Linked DNA regions of Rattus norvegicus. The protein of the gene in region 1 purifies or fractionates together with the protein of each later gene. This does not show direct contact. Links are inferred from orthologs where the notes say so. Each region holds a gene or a part of one and is shown in the gene's direction. Other genes may lie near its edges. The genes, in order: Hsp90b1, Calr, Canx and Os9.

The links.
Region 2: the proteins of Hsp90b1 (region 1) and Calr fractionate together in Homo sapiens (co-fractionation; 4 studies listed by BioGRID, with this or other methods). This does not show direct contact. The link is inferred for Rattus norvegicus from reciprocal best matches to the Homo sapiens genes HSP90B1 and CALR.
Region 3: the proteins of Hsp90b1 (region 1) and Canx purify together in Homo sapiens (affinity purification with mass spectrometry; 4 studies listed by BioGRID and IntAct, with this or other methods). This does not show direct contact. The link is inferred for Rattus norvegicus from reciprocal best matches to the Homo sapiens genes HSP90B1 and CANX.
Region 4: the proteins of Hsp90b1 (region 1) and Os9 purify together in Homo sapiens (affinity purification with mass spectrometry; 6 studies listed by BioGRID and IntAct, with this or other methods). This does not show direct contact. The link is inferred for Rattus norvegicus from reciprocal best matches to the Homo sapiens genes HSP90B1 and OS9.

What each region holds. Positions count from the first base shown.
Region 1 is NC_086025.1:23,009,217-23,013,903, reverse strand, and holds the start of Hsp90b1 (endoplasmin precursor), read left to right. Parts: upstream 1-1,610; 5' UTR 1,611-1,734; coding exon 1,735-1,783; intron 1,784-2,692; coding exon 2,693-2,795; intron 2,796-3,546; coding exon 3,547-3,688; intron 3,689-4,117; coding exon 4,118-4,234; intron 4,235-4,687.
Region 2 is NC_086037.1:40,211,395-40,216,335, forward strand, and holds the start of Calr (calreticulin precursor), read left to right. Parts: upstream 1-1,972; 5' UTR 1,973-2,035; coding exon 2,036-2,126; intron 2,127-2,484; coding exon 2,485-2,586; intron 2,587-2,779; coding exon 2,780-2,983; intron 2,984-3,884; coding exon 3,885-3,979; intron 3,980-4,066; coding exon 4,067-4,276; intron 4,277-4,355; coding exon 4,356-4,469; intron 4,470-4,636; coding exon 4,637-4,780; intron 4,781-4,941. UniProt on the Homo sapiens protein: Calcium-binding chaperone that promotes folding, oligomeric assembly and quality control in the endoplasmic reticulum (ER) via the calreticulin/calnexin cycle.
Region 3 is NC_086028.1:35,154,869-35,159,837, reverse strand, and holds the start of Canx (calnexin precursor), read left to right. Parts: upstream 1-1,980; 5' UTR 1,981-2,076; exon of another isoform or gene 2,077-2,124; intron 2,125-4,969. UniProt on the Homo sapiens protein: Calcium-binding protein that interacts with newly synthesized monoglucosylated glycoproteins in the endoplasmic reticulum. It may act in assisting protein assembly and/or in the retention within the ER of unassembled protein subunits.
Region 4 is NC_086025.1:64,825,754-64,830,782, reverse strand, and holds the start of Os9 (protein OS-9 precursor), read left to right. Parts: upstream 1-1,712; 5' UTR 1,713-1,741; coding exon 1,742-1,903; intron 1,904-2,314; coding exon 2,315-2,491; intron 2,492-3,165; coding exon 3,166-3,229; intron 3,230-3,352; coding exon 3,353-3,429; intron 3,430-3,631; coding exon 3,632-3,730; intron 3,731-5,029. UniProt on the Homo sapiens protein: Lectin component of the HRD1 complex, which functions in endoplasmic reticulum (ER) quality control and ER-associated degradation (ERAD).

The sequences.
Region 1 (4,687 bases):
TAAACACAACACAACACAACACAACACAACACAGAGGCATTAAGCCTTTGTCTTACATTTCTCTGTGCTTTGGCAAATGTAGGTAAATGAGACAGATGTAAATAAGCCATCGCCACATTATGTAAACACCAAACCACAGATTCAAGATCTGCAAGTCTAAATTCTCAAAGTTGTCCAAGGGTCTAGGACACTGTTACTGAAAAGCTTGCCTTCGGGAATTTGGATTACCTGAAAACAACTCCAATTTTCTTGGAGAAAGAGGTGATAGAACGGGTGTGTTAGAGGCAGGCACCCGTGCTGGTGAAAATTTTGTTAAAATGAGACAAAAGAGCTTAGAGAACATTTCGGAATGCACAGGCTGGCCTTAGGGACTTCCCTCACCAGAGAGCCTCTCTTGCTGTCTGTCGGAAGGCGGAAAGGTGTTTCTATGAAGTTACAAAGCCACAATCCAGGCTATTTTGCAAGCACTGCGGCTTTTGCTTTCAAGTATCTGCAAATGTCCTTTCCTGTTCTATGCTAGCCTGGACTTCACCACCGTGCTCTCCAGCCGAATCACAAGAGGGACTCTAGATTGCCAGGTCATTCCTTGATATTTAATGGGGATGTCAAAGGAACTTGGGTTCTTGGAGTTTCCTTGGGGGTTGGTGAACCCCCACCACCCTCTACTGCAAATCAAACCAGAGAGGTCTGGAGTTGCGGGCAGCGCAACGCCAAGTGAAAACCTGAATGACGCGCTAGAAAGCCGACCTGGAAACCGGCGTGCTACCATCAGCCAGAGGCGGAGCCCAGAATCCGTAGCTGGCCCTCTGACACGGCGAGACTAGGGCCACGCGGGGCGACTTTCCAAAGCCGCCTCTGAAAATTGTGTGCATTAGAGTCCTAGAACAAGCATAGATCTATTCTGCAATCCGAATTAGGTGGAAATCTAAATCACTCAGGAGACATTTCCCGCGGACACAAGACCAGAGTAAGCGCAAGGGCCAAACTACGCAACTGGCTTAGACGCCAGAGACTACAATTCCCAGCATTCTTGAGACTAGCGCGTTGCATGCCGGAAACTGTAGTTTCTCACCACCATCCAAACGCACTCCGGATATTCAACCCCTCACAAATTTCTCTTTTGCGAAAAGAAACGCCCAAAAGAAAGGTGACGGCGAACGTAGCGCTGAAAGGGCTCGTAACGTGACCCACGTCGTAGACGGGAAAAGGGTATAAACCACATTGTCTTGGCTACGGTTTCCCCTAGTCACGGAACAAACGTTCTCTAAGAGCCGGAAGTGGTTCCCCGGGACCTCTAGGAAAGGACAGACGTGCTATGCGCCTACATTCATTGGACGGTTTTCCTCAGAGACCAAGGCTTCCCAGGCCAAGGGGTGGCCCGGTGTGTGAGGGGCCCGCGGAGCCATTTGATTGGAGAAAAGCTGCTGGACAAACCCAATCGAAAGGAGCCACGCTTCGGGCATCGGGCACCGCACCTGGACAGTTCCGATTGGCGAGTTGCGGTCCCCCCCATGCGTCCCCATTGGGTGCAGAGAGTGCGTGGTGAGGCACGATTGGTGGGTTCGTGTTTCCCGTCCCCCGCCCGCAAGCTGTGGGGTGAAAAGCGGCCCGACCTGCGCGCGGTTTAGTGGGCGGACCGCGCTGCTGGAGGTGTGAGGACCTGAGACTCCGGGTTGGGGGGGTGGAGGCGGCTCCTGCGACCGAAAAGGACTTGCGACTCTCCGGCCACGCACCATGAGGGTCCTGTGGGTGCTGGGCCTCTGCTGCGTCCTGCTGACCTTCGGTGAGTGATCGGGCGCCCCCCCACCTTCCTGCGCGGCCGCTTCTCGAACGTTCTTGGGGCGTTGAGCCTGGGAGGGGGATGCCGGGGGCTACAGAGGGTCCAGGCACTATGTCCTTTCCTCGAAGGGGACTCGGGTGATGATGCCTTGCCCTGAGGCCTCTGGGAAGAGGAGACTTGGAGCCGCGGTATTTAAATACTCTGCGGATGGAGCTGGAGCGCTCCCCGAAGTCTCGCTGGCGGGGCGCGGCCTCTCGGACTCTACTCACGGGGGAAACCTTGCTGGGGCCCCTCCCTAAGGACTTTTGTCATCAGGTCCGACCTTTGGCCACCCGAGCCTGAGGACCCCTAGCCCCTGCCCTCTGGTTCTTCCAGAGCGTGTTTCTGTTTTCTAACGCCCGACTCGCGAGCGTGGGCCCTCGGGCCAGCTTGGTGGCGGTGGCCCAGTATCCGATTCCGATGTGCTTCAAGCGCGGTCCTTGACATGTCTTCCCCTTTGGGCCGGATTTCAGTTCCCCTCAACAGAAGTTGCACAAACCCTGTTTGCATTCCGACCTGTGATAGTTAAGCGAGGCCCAAGTTTTGGCTTGGCCTGTGTGGAGGCCTGCTCTCGGCTGTGCGCAACACGTGTGGGTGTAGACGGGAGCCTGTATCACTCACTGCCTTGTGTCTAAGGAACGATAGACATGAGTGATGGCTGCCTGGCCTTCCAGAGTCAACGGGGGAGTCTTGAGCATTCACATTTAAACTTCAGCGCGCAAACATGCCTTGACATTGGTTACTAACGTCAATACATCATTTTTCCATCACGTCGCTGAATTGTGTTAACCCTCCCTCTTGCCCTGCTTGGTCTGTCTGTATATGGGAAGGAGAGGAAGCAGTAGTATTGAGAGTTTTAACCTTTCTCCTCAGGGTTTGTGAGAGCTGACGATGAAGTCGATGTGGATGGCACGGTAGAAGAGGACCTGGGTAAAAGTAGAGAAGGCTCACGGACAGACGATGAAGTTGTGCAGAGGTCAGTGCATTTGAAACTATGCTGATAAACTCTGCAAGTTAGTGGGACACATTGGCTGTTTTTGTTCTCCAGACATTGAGATTACAATGTGCAGTGTGTGAAATGTTGCTAATGATACAAAATAACCAGGGAGTTCTTAGGAGGGCCCATTTATCTGCATGCAGAACTCTCCTAGGTCAGTCTGCTCCTAGGAGTGACTACTGATTCAAGAAGGAAAGTTGTGGGGTTGGGGATTTAGCTCAGTGGTAGAGCGCTTGCAAGGCCCTGGGTTTGGTCCCCAGCTCCGGGGGGAAGAAAAAAAAAAAGAAGAAGGAAAGTTGAAGGAGGTGCTAGGAATAAGCCTCGGCATCCAAAATCAGAAAACCGATGACGAAGTTGTAGGCCTCTAAGACCTGACAGAAGACTTCAGATTGGTTTTTATTTTCGTGAAGTTAGTACTATGAAAAATAGAACTTATGCCTGTAACTTTTTTTAAGAAAGGGGCTTTTCACTGGGTGAGGTGTGTTTTAAATTTTGATCAAAGTGTTCACTGCATAGGCATACACGAATCATGACTTGCTTTTCAGTAGATGGGAGCTGGGTGTGTATTTCTGGGAATTTTTGTAAATCTTTGCAGCCCAGCATTAAGTATAGCACCCATTTCTGTGTAAGAGTGAGCTGGTATGTTAGTGGTCTTTTACAAAGGTGTATCCTGAGTAGAGACTTAGAAAAATGAAACTAAGTATTTGCTTATCTATTTTGATTTCCTTAGAGAGGAAGAAGCTATTCAGTTGGATGGTTTAAATGCATCACAAATAAGGGAACTTAGAGAAAAATCGGAAAAGTTCGCCTTCCAAGCTGAAGTTAACAGGATGATGAAACTTATCATCAATTCTTTGTATAAAAATAAAGAGGTAAGCATCACACGGTTAGGACAGCAGCTCTGCTCCTTTTGTGGTAGATTATGAATGAGAATTGCTACTGGTACATATTGGGGTGGGAAGGGAGTAGACAATGTCCCCAGCTTTCCTTTCAGCTCAGAATAAGGTTATGACGTGCTGGCTGAGGTGGAGTCACACAGCTGTACCACTGAGGGGGTGGGAGAGGTAGTCCTGTTCCCACCGCTTCAGATATCCCTTGTACTTGCCACAGAGCTTTATAGAGTCACGCCTCCTTTTTTATGAAGAGAGTAAAGCCATCCCTGGCACTAGAAAAGGCTTGGTTCTTAAAGAGTGCCTTTTCATGCTTCTGAGGAGAAAGGAGAGGAGTTGGCCATAAGAACCAACACCTTACTGTGCCTGGAGGTTAGTCCCACTTCATTAAATCTGGCTTCTTCCTTTTAGATTTTCCTGAGAGAACTGATTTCAAATGCTTCTGATGCTTTAGACAAGATAAGGCTCATCTCACTAACTGATGAAAATGCACTTGCTGGAAATGAGGAGTTGACGGTCAAGATTAAGGTGACTTAAAAAACTGTTTCCTTTTAAAAACTGATACTCAGAAACCAGGCACCGCATCAGTAGGTTATTCTGGTGTGAAAGGAGCTTCTGCTCACCGTGGGTTTGGATGGAAGTCCACAGGCTACCTGTGAGTCAAACTGACTTGGCCTGTTTTTTATTAGGTTTATTGGAAGTCATACCTAGTTTTATAGTACAAATTCTTTTGTCTACAATGGCAGTAATCACTGACGGGACCTTATGGCTCCTAAAGCCAAAAATAGATACTACCTAGTCCTTTAGGAAAAGGTAGCCAAGACCTCAGCTTAAATCATTCCACAGGCTGGCTGAGCAGCCATCTGGAGTGTCTCTGGTTGCCATGGTGCAAAGGGTCGCACACCAATTAAAGGCTTAGCCTGAAAGTCACACTCAGCTCCCACTTGCACCTTCATTGGGCAGAAATAATCATGCGGCCTA
Region 2 (4,941 bases), on another chromosome or scaffold:
GCACTAAGTGACACCAGGCTGACCTGGAACTCATTGGCCCTCCCAATGCTGGGGCTGAATGTGTGCTTGGGTCAGAGGACTTCAGCTCTCACCTTCCACCTTATCTGACACCGAGTCTCTTGTTCTTTTTTTCCTTCTGGGTTACAAGCTAGCAGGTCAAGAGCTCCTGGGTGACTCCCATGTTCCTGCCTGCGATCCTGCTGAAGTTGACAGCTGTGCTTTGCCACATTTGGTTTCTTTTTTAGTTTTTAAATTTCATTTTATTCGTATAGGTGTTTCGCCTGCACGTATTTCTCTCTACCATTTGATGTCTGGTGCCCACAGAAGAGGGTTTCAGACCCTTTGAAACTGGAGTTACAGGTCATTTTGATGCTTCACGAGGGGGCTGGGAATAGAACTGGGGTAGTTCGAAAGAGCAGCCAAAACAAATCTCTCCAGTCCATTATTTCATTGTGCTGAAGCAGGGTCTCATGTAGCCCAGGCTGGCCTCAAACTCACTACATCATAGCTGAGAATTACATTGAACTTTTGATCCCTGCTTCATTCAACTTCTTAAGTACTAGGACAAAGCAGAAGGCATATGTGTCAGTCACAGGACTGGAGACAGGGCCAGTCACAGGTCTGTTGGACTTGGGTGTCCTCCAGAGGGACCTACACCAGCAATGCTTAGTTCTGGACACTGCCTGGGGAACAGAGTGGACCCCCAACTTCTTGACCTTAAGTGTCATTACTGCTTGAGTTCCTCTCACTGAGAAGGAAGCACTCCATTTTTGTAAGGATTCCTTCTGTGCAGTTCCTTGTCTGTTCCAGTGTTCCCAATTCCTCAGTTTGGAAACACCTCCCATCCCCCAACCCCTACAGGTACTGTCCTTCCTCCTCCTAGCAGCAAGCAGGGTGCTGGCCACAGTCACATGATTTGAGTCAGAGGCCTCCAGATCCAAGGGTCCTGCTTATCTCCTTAGAACTCTATCACCACAGCCATCTGTGTCCTTTTTCCTTCTCAAACGGCACCCCTTGCTGTCTGCTCATAGCCGTTTAATTGCAAAAGCCAAGTCGTTTGTGGGAGACCACAAGAAGTGACTCTTTCCATTTTCCAGCGTAAGAGTAAAAAATGATAGAGGTAGGGTTACTACCTCTCACCCAAGGACACACACTTACATTCACACCGATGAGACCACTATGTTTCCTGCTCTCAAACCGTGGATAGCCCTGAAAGGTTTAAGAGCATTTCTGTCAGATAGCTCAGGGTCACCCCTGTTGGCTTCTGAGATTTCAGGGAGGCGAAGTGACTTGTATCATGTCACACAGTAGTCTGACAGGCTGTCAGGGAACTACGGGACAAGAGGAGAAAGCTGGTACATTCTCTACTGGCCTGAACAACTGGGAACCAGAATGCAGCGAAACCCCAGGATCCTGGCCCTTGACCTTATCCTGAATAGGAAAAGCTTGCCATCGGTGGGCGTTCCCTAAGTGCAGTATAGATGGAACATCAAAGTTGCAAAGAATCCTTGCTTCTTCCCTCTGACCAGAAAGGATGGAAAAAGGCCGAGACGAGACGGAGGCCCAGTCTCGGTCCCGCACGGTTAACACCCGGTACTGCTCGCGCGGATTCTTTAAACGACTTCATGGCGAGCAAGGGACTCTCACCAGCAAGGGCGGGGTTGGGCTGAGGCTCAGTCACGTGACCGCGCCTGAGTGGGCTCGCGGCCCCCACCCCAACAGGGGGCGTCCCCTACAACGCGTGGTCGACCCTGATTGGCCCAGGGTGCGGCCAATAGAAATCAGCCATCTGGGATCCCAGCGTTCCGAGCCACAGCCTAACTTGCTGAGGCGACTAGGACGCAATGAGAAGGGACAGCTGTAGGTCTAAACCAGTCAGAAGGACCGAGGGGCGGGCTCAGCGGTCGTGTCAGGTTGGGATGAGAGGTAGGTGGATATAAATTGGAGCAGCGGCGGCCGCGTCCGTCAATACCGCAGAGCCGCTGCTTGAAGATCGTTTTAAAGGGCCAGTGTGCCGCCGCCCCCTCGGCCCGCCATGCTCCTTTCGGTGCCGCTCCTGCTTGGCCTCCTCGGCCTGGCTGCCGCAGACCCTGCCATCTATTTCAAAGAGCAGTTCTTGGACGGAGGTAAGGTCTGGGCCCGCCTCGAGGCCGCCTCAGCGACTGCTGGGCCCCGAGCCCTCGGCTGCCTCGTCGTGTGTAAAGTAATTACCGTTCAGAGGGCCAACACTGTGGCCCCGGGGGGACTAGAGCCGCGGGCGGTTCCATTTGTGCGTCCTTGGGGGACCAGGAAGGCGCAGCGGTTTCCCGCGCCCGGAGTTAAGGTTCGTTCAAGGACCTGAAGCCGATCGAGGTGTCAAGTTCGAGGTTGGGATGGGAATCCCCTTCCCCACCCCCACTTGCTTGTAGCTCCTGACAGACGTTGGTTATGGGGGCGGGGGTCGGACGGTCCCGCTGATCTGACTCCTAAGCCTTTCTCTTTCAGATGCCTGGACCAACCGCTGGGTCGAATCCAAACATAAGTCTGATTTTGGCAAATTCGTCCTCAGTTCTGGCAAATTCTACGGGGACCAGGAGAAGGATAAAGGTACGAGGGAGTGGGTGCTTGGATTCAAGACAACTTCCTGGAGGAAGCTCTTGTCAGTGCACACAGCTTGTTGGAGCTTTTCCCAGGAATGAGGGAGCCAATGACAGGTGGAGGAAGGAAGGGGCGGTCAACTGTGCCCCTCAAGGTCTAGGGTATTTGGGGTCCACCTAACGACAATCCCATTTCATCACAGGGTTGCAGACAAGCCAAGATGCCCGATTTTACGCGCTGTCCGCCAGATTCGAACCCTTCAGCAACAAGGGCCAGACACTGGTGGTACAGTTCACCGTGAAGCATGAGCAGAATATCGACTGTGGGGGCGGCTACGTGAAGCTGTTTCCGGGTGGCTTGGACCAGAAGGACATGCATGGAGACTCAGAATATAACATCATGTTTGGTGAGGGGCCCCCAGCCAATGCTGACCTCTGCCGGTTGGACAGTGGGTGCGAACTGAAACCCTTTATAACTAGAATGCTGATCTTCATATCATGGAAAGCACTTGAATGATTTTTGTCCTGAGGGGACAACTAAAGGGTTTACTTTATTAGTTGGTGGACTCTATTAGTTGTAGATTTATATTGTTCATTTTTATGGTATTTTCTACATGTTTCTTAATTTTAGAAATGATGCTAATGACAGGGTCAAAGAAATCACTGGAAAAAGTGCAAATTTTTTATGTACCTGTGTATGTACTAGTGTGAAGGTCAGAGGGCAACTTTGGAAATCTCTTCTGTCATCTGAGTTCCAGGATCAAATTTGCATTATCAGGCTTAGTGGCAAGCACCTAATTTACCCCTGAGCCCTTTGCTGGCCCAGAATGGTACTCTTTTCAGATTTGTAGTCTTTGATGCCTTTAATAGGTATATTGAAATCAGGTGCCTCTCCATGATTCCTGAACAGCTAGGACTTCGTAGAGATCCTGTCTCAGGGGAAAAAAAAGACAAGATCAGGTCTTTATTTCTAGATAGCCATGGTACATTCCAGCATTCACACTACTGAGGTAGGTGAGTACTTTAAAGGCAGCTTCAGTTAAAGGTAACAGTATCCTCTGTCAAAAACAAAATAGGAGCTGGAGTGGATGCAATGGTTTCAAAGAACTGAAGTTCAGTTCTCAGCACTCAAACAGTAGCTCTCCAACTCCAGTGCCCTCTGCAGGCTCCTGTATATGCATGGTACACACACACACACACGTACGTACATACGTACGTACATACGTACGTACGCATAAATACATAAGGTTAGGTCTTTCTTCCCCAAGGGTAGAGCCTGCCATCAGCCTGCATATGCTTCCTACATAGGTCCGGACATCTGCGGTCCTGGCACCAAGAAGGTTCATGTCATCTTTAACTACAAGGGCAAGAACGTGCTGATCAACAAGGATATCCGGTGTAAGGTGTGTCTGGGGTAGTCATTTAAGTGGCTGTCACGGGAGGTCCAGGCAGCCTGGTGGGAGGGACTGCTCACCTCCTTCCTTCTTCAGGATGATGAATTCACACATCTATACACGCTGATTGTGCGGCCAGACAACACCTACGAGGTGAAAATTGACAACAGCCAGGTGGAGTCGGGCTCCTTGGAGGATGATTGGGACTTTCTGCCGCCCAAGAAGATTAAGGATCCTGACGCTGCCAAGCCAGAAGACTGGGATGAACGAGCCAAGATTGATGACCCCACAGATTCCAAGCCTGAGGTTAGTGTTGGGACAACAGCTCCACCTCCATCCTAGGGGGAGGACCCTGGGTCCCCCTGACCTCCCTGTATATTCCTAGGACTGGGACAAGCCAGAGCACATCCCTGACCCTGATGCTAAGAAGCCTGAGGACTGGGACGAAGAGATGGATGGAGAGTGGGAACCACCAGTGATTCAAAATCCTGAATACAAGGTAGGCTTGGGTGTTGAGGTGCTGCTCACTAGTAGGGTGCTTCCTTTGGTGCTATGATTGATGTCGCACCACAGGAAAAAGACAAGATATGCCTTGGGGTTCTAAGCAGGGTGGTTGGTTGTACTGTGGGATGTGTCCACCTCTGTTCATCTGGTTCTCTTCTACAGGGCGAATGGAAGCCACGTCAAATTGACAACCCAGATTACAAGGGTACCTGGATACACCCAGAGATTGACAATCCTGAATACTCCCCCGATGCGAATATCTATGCCTATGATAGTTTTGCTGTACTGGGCTTAGACCTCTGGCAGGTGAGACATAGGAAAGACAAGGGTTCCTGGCAGACCTCAAGTAGTCAGGATTGTACTGGTTGATCTGGAGGGAAGAACAGGCAGAGGCACCAACCTCAAGGTGTTTAAATTCTGAAATGTCCACTTATTGAGACATTTCCTGTTTTATCTCCTTTTTTTTT
Region 3 (4,969 bases), on another chromosome or scaffold:
GGACAAACTGAATCTCAAAGGAAACTAATATTCTATAATGACACACCATGAAAGGGTCAGAAAACTGAGGTTCCCAGTCTGTTAGTGGACTGTACAGTTTGGGGCCATCATGTTCTCATTTTTATTAGAATTTCACATTTATTATTGTGTGTATGTGAATTTGTGTAGAGATCAGAGTACATCTCAATTCTCTTCTTCTACCATGTTGAGTTCTGGGAATCAAATTCAGGTCGTCAGGCTTGGTGGCAAGTGTCCTTACCTGCTGAGTCGTCCCCATGGCCCTCAAAACGTTTTTTGTATATAGATCTCCCAAACACCCGAGAGCCGCTTTCTTGCTTTTCTGTAGAGTTTTCTCATCTTAAGAACTTCTTTCCAACTCCACCTACAGAAAATTTGCATATCTATGAGGTTCAGGCCAAGTCTCACCTCTTTCTCTTTCTTAGAAAAGTTCTGCCTCAACTCCTCTACTCCTTCAGTACTGACATATTTTAACACCTCTCTGCAGGATTTTTTTTTTGTTCTCTTAAATTCAATGCCATCTTGGGTAACACAAGCCAGAACACCCATCCTAAACAAATTTAAATACACACACACACACACACACACACACACACACACACACACACACACACGCGCGCGCGCGCGCGCGCGCGCGTGTGTGTGTGTGTGTGTAAATTATGTGTACTTACGCGCGCGCGCGCGTGTGTGTGTGTGTGTGTGTGTGTGTGTATAAATTATGTGTACTTATGTAATGTCCGCTGTCATTGGATTCGAGGCAGCATAAAATCCCCTGGAACTGGAATTACAGGCAGTTGTGAGTGATGGGAACTGAACCTGAGTTCTCTGGAAGAGCAAGTGCTCTTGATCACTGAGCTCTCTCTATCCAGATCCTTAAGGGGATTCTTCTGCCTTAGCCTCCTAAATACCTAAGAACTGGGACTAAAGCATGTGCCAACCTGGCTTCATTTTTTTTAAACATGCTCTTTATAAGGCAAATAAGGAAAGGGATTTTCTTCTTTAAAATTAGGGAGAATTGGCGGTTACTAAATTGACCTAAACATCAAATCCTTAACTGCCTTTCTCTTGGGGTAGCAGGAACAAAGCTGGTTTCATATGTAGTTACATAGATGATAAAAATCTGTTTCTTTCTCCAGTAGTCAAAGCTTTGGGTCACCAAACACAACCAGGAGCGATCAGGATTTTCAAAGACATAGCCAAATCCATAGCCACTTCAATCTTACAGCGTTTTCACCATATTGAAAAAGGAGTGGGTTACGAAATGGCTATTTTAAATCTGCACATGGCATCACCCTGTCGCTAGAGTATGTCTGATTTTAACGCCTGAAACAGCACGGGAACATGGGAAGGTGAGTTCATGTTGCATGATTGTGACTCTAGATAGTGTTTTGTTAGGTAAAAAGGTCCCAGGTTCAGGGCGATGACTCCGCAAGACAGTGTCTGCTGCCCAGAGGGATCTCATTCGCTGCATAAGCACACTGGCCTGACCTCTCACCATTTCTGATGAAGGGCATAGGTCCCAGACAGGATTGGAACAGGGTTTCTAACTCAATGGGTGGGAAAAGGTGTCTTTTGGATGGCCACCAACACACCGGCCCTGAGGAACCAGGTCGACCCACGCGAGGACGCACGCCAAATCCGCCCGCCCTCCGGCCCGCGCACCCGCCCGTTTGGTGACGGCCGCCTTCTTTCCTCATACCCAATCAGCAACCACTTCCTGCCTCACTCTTGTCCAATCATCACGCTCCACGAAGAATAGCCCTAGGGGGCGTATGGGAAAGAGCTTTGAGCGATGGCCGTATCTACCAATAGATTCTCAGATCTTGCGCAAAGGGACGGGAGTTGACGTTTGTTGTAGCCACTCAGGAACGAGGGGCGGACGCGGGGTTGGGCTTCGTGCGGTGGGGCTCGCTCGCGCGGCGGCGGTAGCCGAGGCCTCTTAGTTCTGCGGCACGTGACGGTCGGGCCGCCTCTGCCGCTGTCTCCACTGCAGCACGGGGCCCGGTGTGCGGGTGGGAGAAGGTGAGGGAGCCGCCAGTGGTCCCCGGGAGGCTCGAGGTGAGACGGGAAGCGTGTGCGGGGACCTCAGGCCTGGGACGAGTCTGGGTGAGCGGCGGCGCGGCGGAGGGGGTCGGGCGTGGCAGGAATCTCGACGGCTGAGGGTCCGGCGGGCATTCGAGTGGCGCAGGCCCGGGCGGACGCTCAGAGCAATGAGGAGAGCGGCAGGGTTAGAGAGACTGGTCTGGGCAGCGCCGCCGGGGTCGGGAGGCGTGGCAGGTGTCCTGGGGTTTCCCTTGACCTCTGAGAAAGCTAACTACTTCCTATGGCTTTGGTTCTAGAGTTTTCTTAGGCCCTGTCCTGGCCCACCCAGAGGTGGACTGAGTAATCCGGTATAGGTGTAGTATTAGAATTAGGCCTAGTAGGTAGCCCAAATAGTAGGGAAAGGTGAAGTAAATCCATAGAGATAAGCGTTACAGTTTCAATATTAGAAAATAATATGTCCAAAGCGAAGTCTGGACCATAGCACCCCGATGAGGGAGTAGAATGTACTAGAACGTGTACCGCTTGAGAAACTTAAGGCTTAACTATTAAAGCACCTGCCTATTCGGTGATGATAGATAGTGATCCAGTGAGGGTATTCACTGGACCTTAAAAGCAGGAAATACAAGCGAAAGTTCAGTTAGTGAGTGTAGGAAACTGAGGCCTAGAAGTTTGAAATGACTGGCCCAAGGTCATACAGGTAGTTCTAATCCAGTTCGGATTGTAACTGAGGACTAGACAGTTTGGGTTTCTTAGTTAAGGTTAAAAGTCCTGGTGCAAGCTCCTAACTGCAGTTTATCGGGGGAAGTGGGATTTGGGAGATTTTCTACTTTATGGCTCAGTCCCCTAGGAGTAGACAGAATGGCTGGTCTTGTATTAAAAGGTAATGGGAATGAGAAATTGGATGTATAGTAAAGGTTCAAGGAGTAGTAATTGCACTGGCTTCTTGTAGTCGGAGTGAATGCTTTGGTCATTACACTGATATACTAATTTTTATGTTAAGTCCTGAGGGCACATTAATGACACCTTGTATATTAACTGCTGGTCATGACATTAGTGATTGCTGGTTGTGTGAAGTTAAACCGAACTGAATATTAAATGCTTGACAGAGATGAGCTACGGTTTCTTTACCCTGAGGAAATGGAAGATTCTGCCTGTTTTTTAAATAATCCTCCCCCTTTTTAAAGGGAGAAATAATTGGGTTATCTGAAAAATCTTAGTATATTTTCTAGTACCATTTGAAAGGACACGAACGGAATCGATTCTCATTTTGTACTTGAGCTGTAATTAAGCTTACAGGCCAGGCAGGGTACACAAGTGAGCCAGGCCCTGAAGAACTGTTTATAGAAGTGAACTATCCACAATAGGAGTTTACTGAGCTGTCTGAAAAATGGGTGTCTCCGCCTTGCTATCTTAACAGTGCAATTAGCTCTGTAATCTTTCAAGGGCCACAAGGCACGTGCATCTTGACAACACACCTTGCATCCATGTCCTGGAGAGGTCACTTGCCCTGCCAGAGAACTTGAAGGGAGTAGAGTGGCAGTTGGTAAGCATAACTGCAGAATACAGTGTCCAGCATAGTAGCTTTGCTTCCTGTCCTTTATAAATGGGAATGAGTCTCCTACTTGCTTTACCTTTGAGGGGGCAGCTACTAAGAAACTGCTTTGGAAAGTATAAGGAAATGGGCAAATAGAATTGGCAGCTCATAAAAAGTCCTAAGAAGTAAAGTGCCAACCAAAGATAGTTGTAGTCTGTATAACTTACTGTAAAACTCATTAGGAACATGCTTATTAAATGCTTTGTTATTGCTACAAGTGCTAGGTAAGAATTTTTAGGCTTATTTATCTAATTTTTGGTGTATGCGTGTTTTGCCTGCATGTATGTATGTGTACCAATGTGTGTGAACCATCATGTTGGTGCTGGGGATCAAACCTGGGTCCTCTGGAAGAGCAGCCAGTGCTTTTAACCAGAGCTATGTCTTCAGCTCTGAAAAATTTCCTTTTTTAAAGAATCTAGAAAATTTTCATATTGTGGTATTAATGTCTTTTTAAAAATCTCGTTAAGATTTATTTAGGTCGGGAGAGATGCTCAGCAGTTGGGAGCACTGGCTGCTCTTCCAGAGGTCCTGAGTTCAATTCCCAGCAACCACATGGTGGCTCACAGTCATCTCTAATGGGATCCAATGCTCTCTTCTGGTGTGTCTGAGGACAGTATACTTATGTGCATGAAATCACATCTTCCCTCTGGCCTTTTTTTAATTTTTTATTTTTTTATCCTTTTTTTTTCTAAAGATTTATTTATGTATGCCTGCAGGTCACAAGAGGCACCAGATCTCATTACAGATGGTTGTGAGCCACCATGTGGTTGCTGGGAATTGAACTCGGCCTCTGGAAGAGCAGTCAGTGCTCTTAACCACTGAGCCATCCCTTCAGACCCCTCTCTGGCCTTTTTTAAAAAGTTGTATATATATATTTTTTAATCTTATAAAAGATATATTTAAAAACATTTTTATGTGTATATAGGTATAATTATATACAATATATTCATGGGTGCCCGTGGAGGCCAGAAAAGGGCATTATATTCCCTGGTGTTGGAATTACAGACTGTCATAAGCTGCCCATCTGGGAACTGAACCACCTCTCCATCCTGGGTATTCACATCTTAAAGTGAATTAATATGAAAAAAGTTAATTAAAAAAATTTAGTAGATGGATGGTGTGGTAGTGGCTCACCTTTGATCTCTGCATGAGGATAGATTTCTCTCTGAGTTCAAGACCAGCCTAGTCTACAGAGTGAGTTCCAGGACATCCAAGACTGTACAGAGAAACCCTGTCTCAAGAAACAGATTATTTCTATGTTTCTGTTAATGAAAAGAGATCCAAGAAGGTGGGTATAACGCTTGCTTAGCAAGT
Region 4 (5,029 bases), about 42 Mb from region 1:
ATTAAGAATTTCCCTTAGACAGATGACTATGCTTGGCTTTCTGAGTATTTAAGTGTGAGGTCTTGTAGAGATCTGATTGGAAAGTCTGTGTGCAGGTTTCAGCACTCAGCCCAAAGGGTTTAGGCGGGATGTGTGCCTGTTTCATTAACAGAACCCTAGTGAGAGTACCTTTTGGATTTTCCCCCTGGCATGGTGAACTTCCCCGCAGAAATTTCCAGTGGTATAGTATACCTCTCGCTTGCCTTCATTTAGGTGTTGGTATTCTCAGGGTTATTAATCCAGTTACCTTTCTGTTTGTTTCTGGCTTCATTTTCTTCTTGTTTTCACAGGTTTTCCTCTTACGTTCTAGACAGAACAGACACTTTTCCCACATCTCCAACCCCTGGCTCAACTTTAACCAGAAGCCCCTTTATTTTATTTCCTCCTTCTCTTCTCCCCTGCCTTCCTTACCCCTGCCTGTTTTCTTCTTCTTCTTCTTCTTTTCCTCCTTCCTCCTCCTCCCCCTCCTCCTCCCCTTCTTCTCCCCCTTCCTCCTCCTCCTCTTTCCTTCATTGCCTCCTCAAGACTTTGCTGTTCATAAGCTGGGCTGGGCTCCAACCGTCTATTCTTTTTGCCTCAGCCTGTAATTATAGGCATCCACCTCCACTCTTGGCTCCATTGTCATTTCTTCTTGTTTTGAGACAGAGTCTTGTGTATTTCAGGCTTAGATCCGACTCTGTGTAGCCAAGGACTGCTTGGATTCCAGGTGTACACCAGGATGTTTGGTTCACACTGTGCGGCAGATTGAACACAGGGCTTTGCACACGCTAAACCAGTGTCTGTGTGTATTTGAAAGAGTGTGACTCATCTCGAAGGACGCTCTGGAACTCACTATATGGAGGAGGATGACCTTGAATTATTGATCCTCCTGCCTCTGTGTCACAAGTGCCTGGATTACAAGCATGCACTACCACACTCTCCTTCTTAAGATAATTTTATTGGGGGGTTGGGGATTTAGCTTAGTGGTAGAGTGTTTGCCTAGCAAGCGCAAGGCCCTGGGTTCGGTCCCCAGCTCCAAAAAAAAAAGAAAAGAAAAAAAAGATAATTTTATTGGAGGACAAACTCAGGTTTTGACACAGACTATTTGGCTGCTGGTAATATATTAGCACATATGTGTGTATATGTATATATAAATATGTACATATACGTATATTTGTGTATACATATATGTACATAATTGTATATATAACACATAAATATATGTGCGGATACATATATGTTTATATGAAGAGTCATGCTTCTGTATAGTATGTTTTGCGAAAGATATTAAGTTTCAAAGATATCCCCCACACTCACCATCCGTCTCAATATTCTGCCCAATGGAGGCTCCATACATCGCAAGAGATATACGAAAAAGTAATAAGAAGCTCTATTCCTGACAGCTGGGCGAAGGCAGGGACCAGACAAGAAGCAAAAGAACACAGCCAGTCCACACCTCTCAGGAATAAGGAGCGAGGAGGGGAGGGGCCTAATCTCGTAGCTGATTGGTTGTTGTTCCTGACCAATCAGAAGCAGCTATTGATTTTTACTACCAGTGCGACCCGCCTCCCTGGAGGCTTTGACGCCACGTTTACAAATGAGGATGAGTTACGTAAGAGAGAGCGCCCGGGCAGCCAATGAGAGCTTGAGGCGCTAATAGACGGGTGAGGCCGCTGCCAGGTTTGGGGCGGAAGGAACATCTCTAGCAGAGACGAAGCGGAAGATGGCGGCGGAGGCGCTGCTGTCCAGTCTGTTGGGATTGCTATTTCTGGGGCTCCTGTTACCTGCGCATCTGACGGGCGGTGTCGGGAGCCTGAATTTGGAGGAGCTGAGTGAGATGCGTTATGGCATCCAGATCCTGCCGTTGCCTGTCATGGGAGGGCAGGTGAGGGATGTAGGGCGAGGCGAGGGTCCTGTGCAAGAGGTAGGGGCGCAAGGTGGAGGAGGAAAGGCAGCTGCGCGTCCGGCGCGGGAGACCGGGGGAATGAAGAAGACATGGTGGTGTTTCTACGATCCTGCTGGGAATGGCAGGCAGATCTATCCCCGGGGACCAGGCACCGGCAGGGGTGGGGCTCTCCGCTGTGGACCTCGGGTCCCCAGGTCGCGTTGAAAGGAGCCGGACCCCGCCAGGTGGGGAAGCGAGAGCGCCCTCTCCTCCGCTCAGCCGGGGCTGCTGGAGGACTTGTGGCTTATTCTCTCTTCCACTGGGCACGTCCCCAGGGTCTGAAGAGGGATCTCGTTGTTCTTGGTCCCAGCGTCTGCCTCCCTGCCCCCCTTCCCGACCCTTCTTTCCCAGAGCCAAGCTTCAGACGTGGTGGTTGTGTCTTCAAAGTACAAACAGCGCTATGAGTGCCGCCTACCAGCTGGAGCTATTCACTTCCAGCGTGAAAGGGAGGAGGAGACACCTGCTTACCAGGGGCCCGGGATTCCTGAATTGTTGAGCCCAATGAGAGATGCCCCTTGTCTGCTGAAGGTGAAAGGAACTGGGGTGGGCGGAGTGAAGTCTTGGGAACTGGAATGGGGGGCGGTGGGAGTTAAGGGGCCATTGGTGTACTAGACATTGTTTTCAGACGGAGGAGGGGGAAACAAAGCAAAGACTCTGCTGAGTGTAGGGAAGGGTTACGTTAGAAGATCTCAAAATTGGTTAAACCAAGATGAGAAGAACAGTGATGGGATGGGAAGAGCAGGAGCTTACCCATAAAGTCACCCTCTGCTCCTATTGCTCTTTACCCCGGGATGCCATTGTATTCAAAGAAGTTCACTTAATACTTGAACCTGTGGGAGGGTCCTTCTGAGTGCTTCAAGGATACCATGATTTCTTATCTTTATGGAGGGCAGGGAATGACTTATGCCTGTGATCCTAGGTTGGATCACAGTGCACTGTGGCCCTGTCTTACCCCTTTCCTGACAGACAGACAGACAGACAGACAGACAGACAGGGTGTGGGTGGGAATCAGTTATACTTTAGATGTGCGTCTCTGGCCATGAAAAGAAAACAGCTGTCCCTTCTCTTAGAATCAAGAATGCATGAGGGGAGAGAGAGCAGGAGGTGAGAACTCAGTGACAGGTTATATATCTTGGATCCAGGAGACTGGTTTCACAAGGAGCCGTTTTCGTGCCTCCTGATTGTTCTCTTTCCATTGTCAGACCAAGGACTGGTGGACATATGAATTCTGTTATGGACGCCATATCCAGCAGTACCATATGGAAGGTGAGTAACTCCTACATTCTCCCTAAGCCTTCATGATGCCGTGTGGATGGCGACCCTCCCTCTCAGTCCTCCCTCCTAGGCCTCATAATAGAATAATGTGCTTTACTGTGGCTTCTTTTACAGACTCGGAGATCAAAGGTGACGTCCTCTACCTTGGCTACTACCAGTCAGCCTTCAACTGGGACGATGAAACAGCCAAGGTGACTGGCTGGGGATTGGGGTTGGAATGGGGACTGGCTGAGCTTCAGACAGACAACCCAGGCGACAGGAGGGTCAGACTGAACTGCTATGTTTCTTGGGGTTTGGTACCCATCAAGTCCCCTGGATCAGGTCTTTTGATCCCCGGGTCCCTGTGGGAGAGACCCTTCCTCATGCCCTCATCCTACCTCATGTTTTCTCCAGGCCTCCAAGCAGCATCGGCTGAAACGCTACCACAGCCAGACCTACGGCAATGGGTCCAAATGCGATCTCAATGGGAAGCCCAGAGAAGCTGAAGTTCGGGTAAGTCTTCGAAGAAAACCTTCCCTGAATAACAATAGTCCATCTGTTACTATGGGAGAAGGATGCTTGTGCCCTGAAGTGAACAGTATCTCTTAGGTGTAGAGCCCAGTCTGGGGCTGATGTCTAGCTGCCGGAGTGATATCATTGCATTTGTGGAGGTAATTTAACTCTGCGTTTCCCATAGGCTACCCTCAGTACTTCCAGGCACATTTAAGCCTTTCCAACATTTCTCCTTTCCGTTACCTAAGCTGTAAACGTTAGCGTCTGTCTGTCTTTGACTCTTCTTGCTCTGGGTGTAACATGGAGACATCGGCCTTAACTCTTCCAGCAAAGTGGGAAGCAAACAGGAAGTTCCTGCATGTGAGGAGGGCCTGATATACAAGGGATGCTAACCCAAGAAGTGAGTCTGAAAGAAGCCACAAGTCAGTGGTTCTCAACCTGTGGTCCGAGACCCCACAAGGACCACACATCAGATGCCCTGGATGTCAGATATTTACATTATGACTCATAACAGCAGCAAGATTTCAACTAGAAGAAAATTATCCCATGGCTGAGGGGTGGCCACCACAGCAGGAGGAACTGTGCTAAAGGGTCACAGCGTAGAACCACATCGTAGAACCAAGGATGAGAAGGAGGGAGATAAGGCTAGCTCGCTCAAAGCCCAGCTATCCTCTTAATGGCCTTTTAAAACTGGCTTCAGGGCTGACAGCGTCAGCGCACGCCTTCGATTCCCAGCACTCTGGAGACAGAGGCAGGTGGATCTCTGTGAATGCAAAGGCAGCCTGGTCTACCTAGTGGGTTCCAGGACAGCCTCAAAAACCAAAAGCCTCTCACCAGTTGGGCATGGCAGTATACACCTGTAATCTCAGTAAGTTGGGAGGCGGAGGTGGGAGCATCGTGAGCCTAAGGCTATTGTGAACTATGGGAAAAGGAACAAGAGACAACCCGTTTGTCCCGTGGCTGGGACTCTGAATTCTCACCAGCATCTCGGTCAGTAGCCTCCTAGCGAATGGTCCTCTTTATTCTCCTGGGTCACAGCTGAGCGGAGGCAGGTGGGGCACACAAGCAGGTGCATACAGAAATCTTCTGCGTCTGCACAACCGTAGACACCTTTAGAGAACTACCTACAACACCAGCAGCTGTGGCACCCACCAGCACTAGCTGTATGCAAAACCAGTTCACACACTCAGTCACGCAGTAGCATTGAGCAGTCAGTTTCAAGCGGGGAAAGACGCTGGCAATGTCAGCAATCAACCATTGTATGAATACTTCATCCATGCCCAAAACAAGCTGTCATAT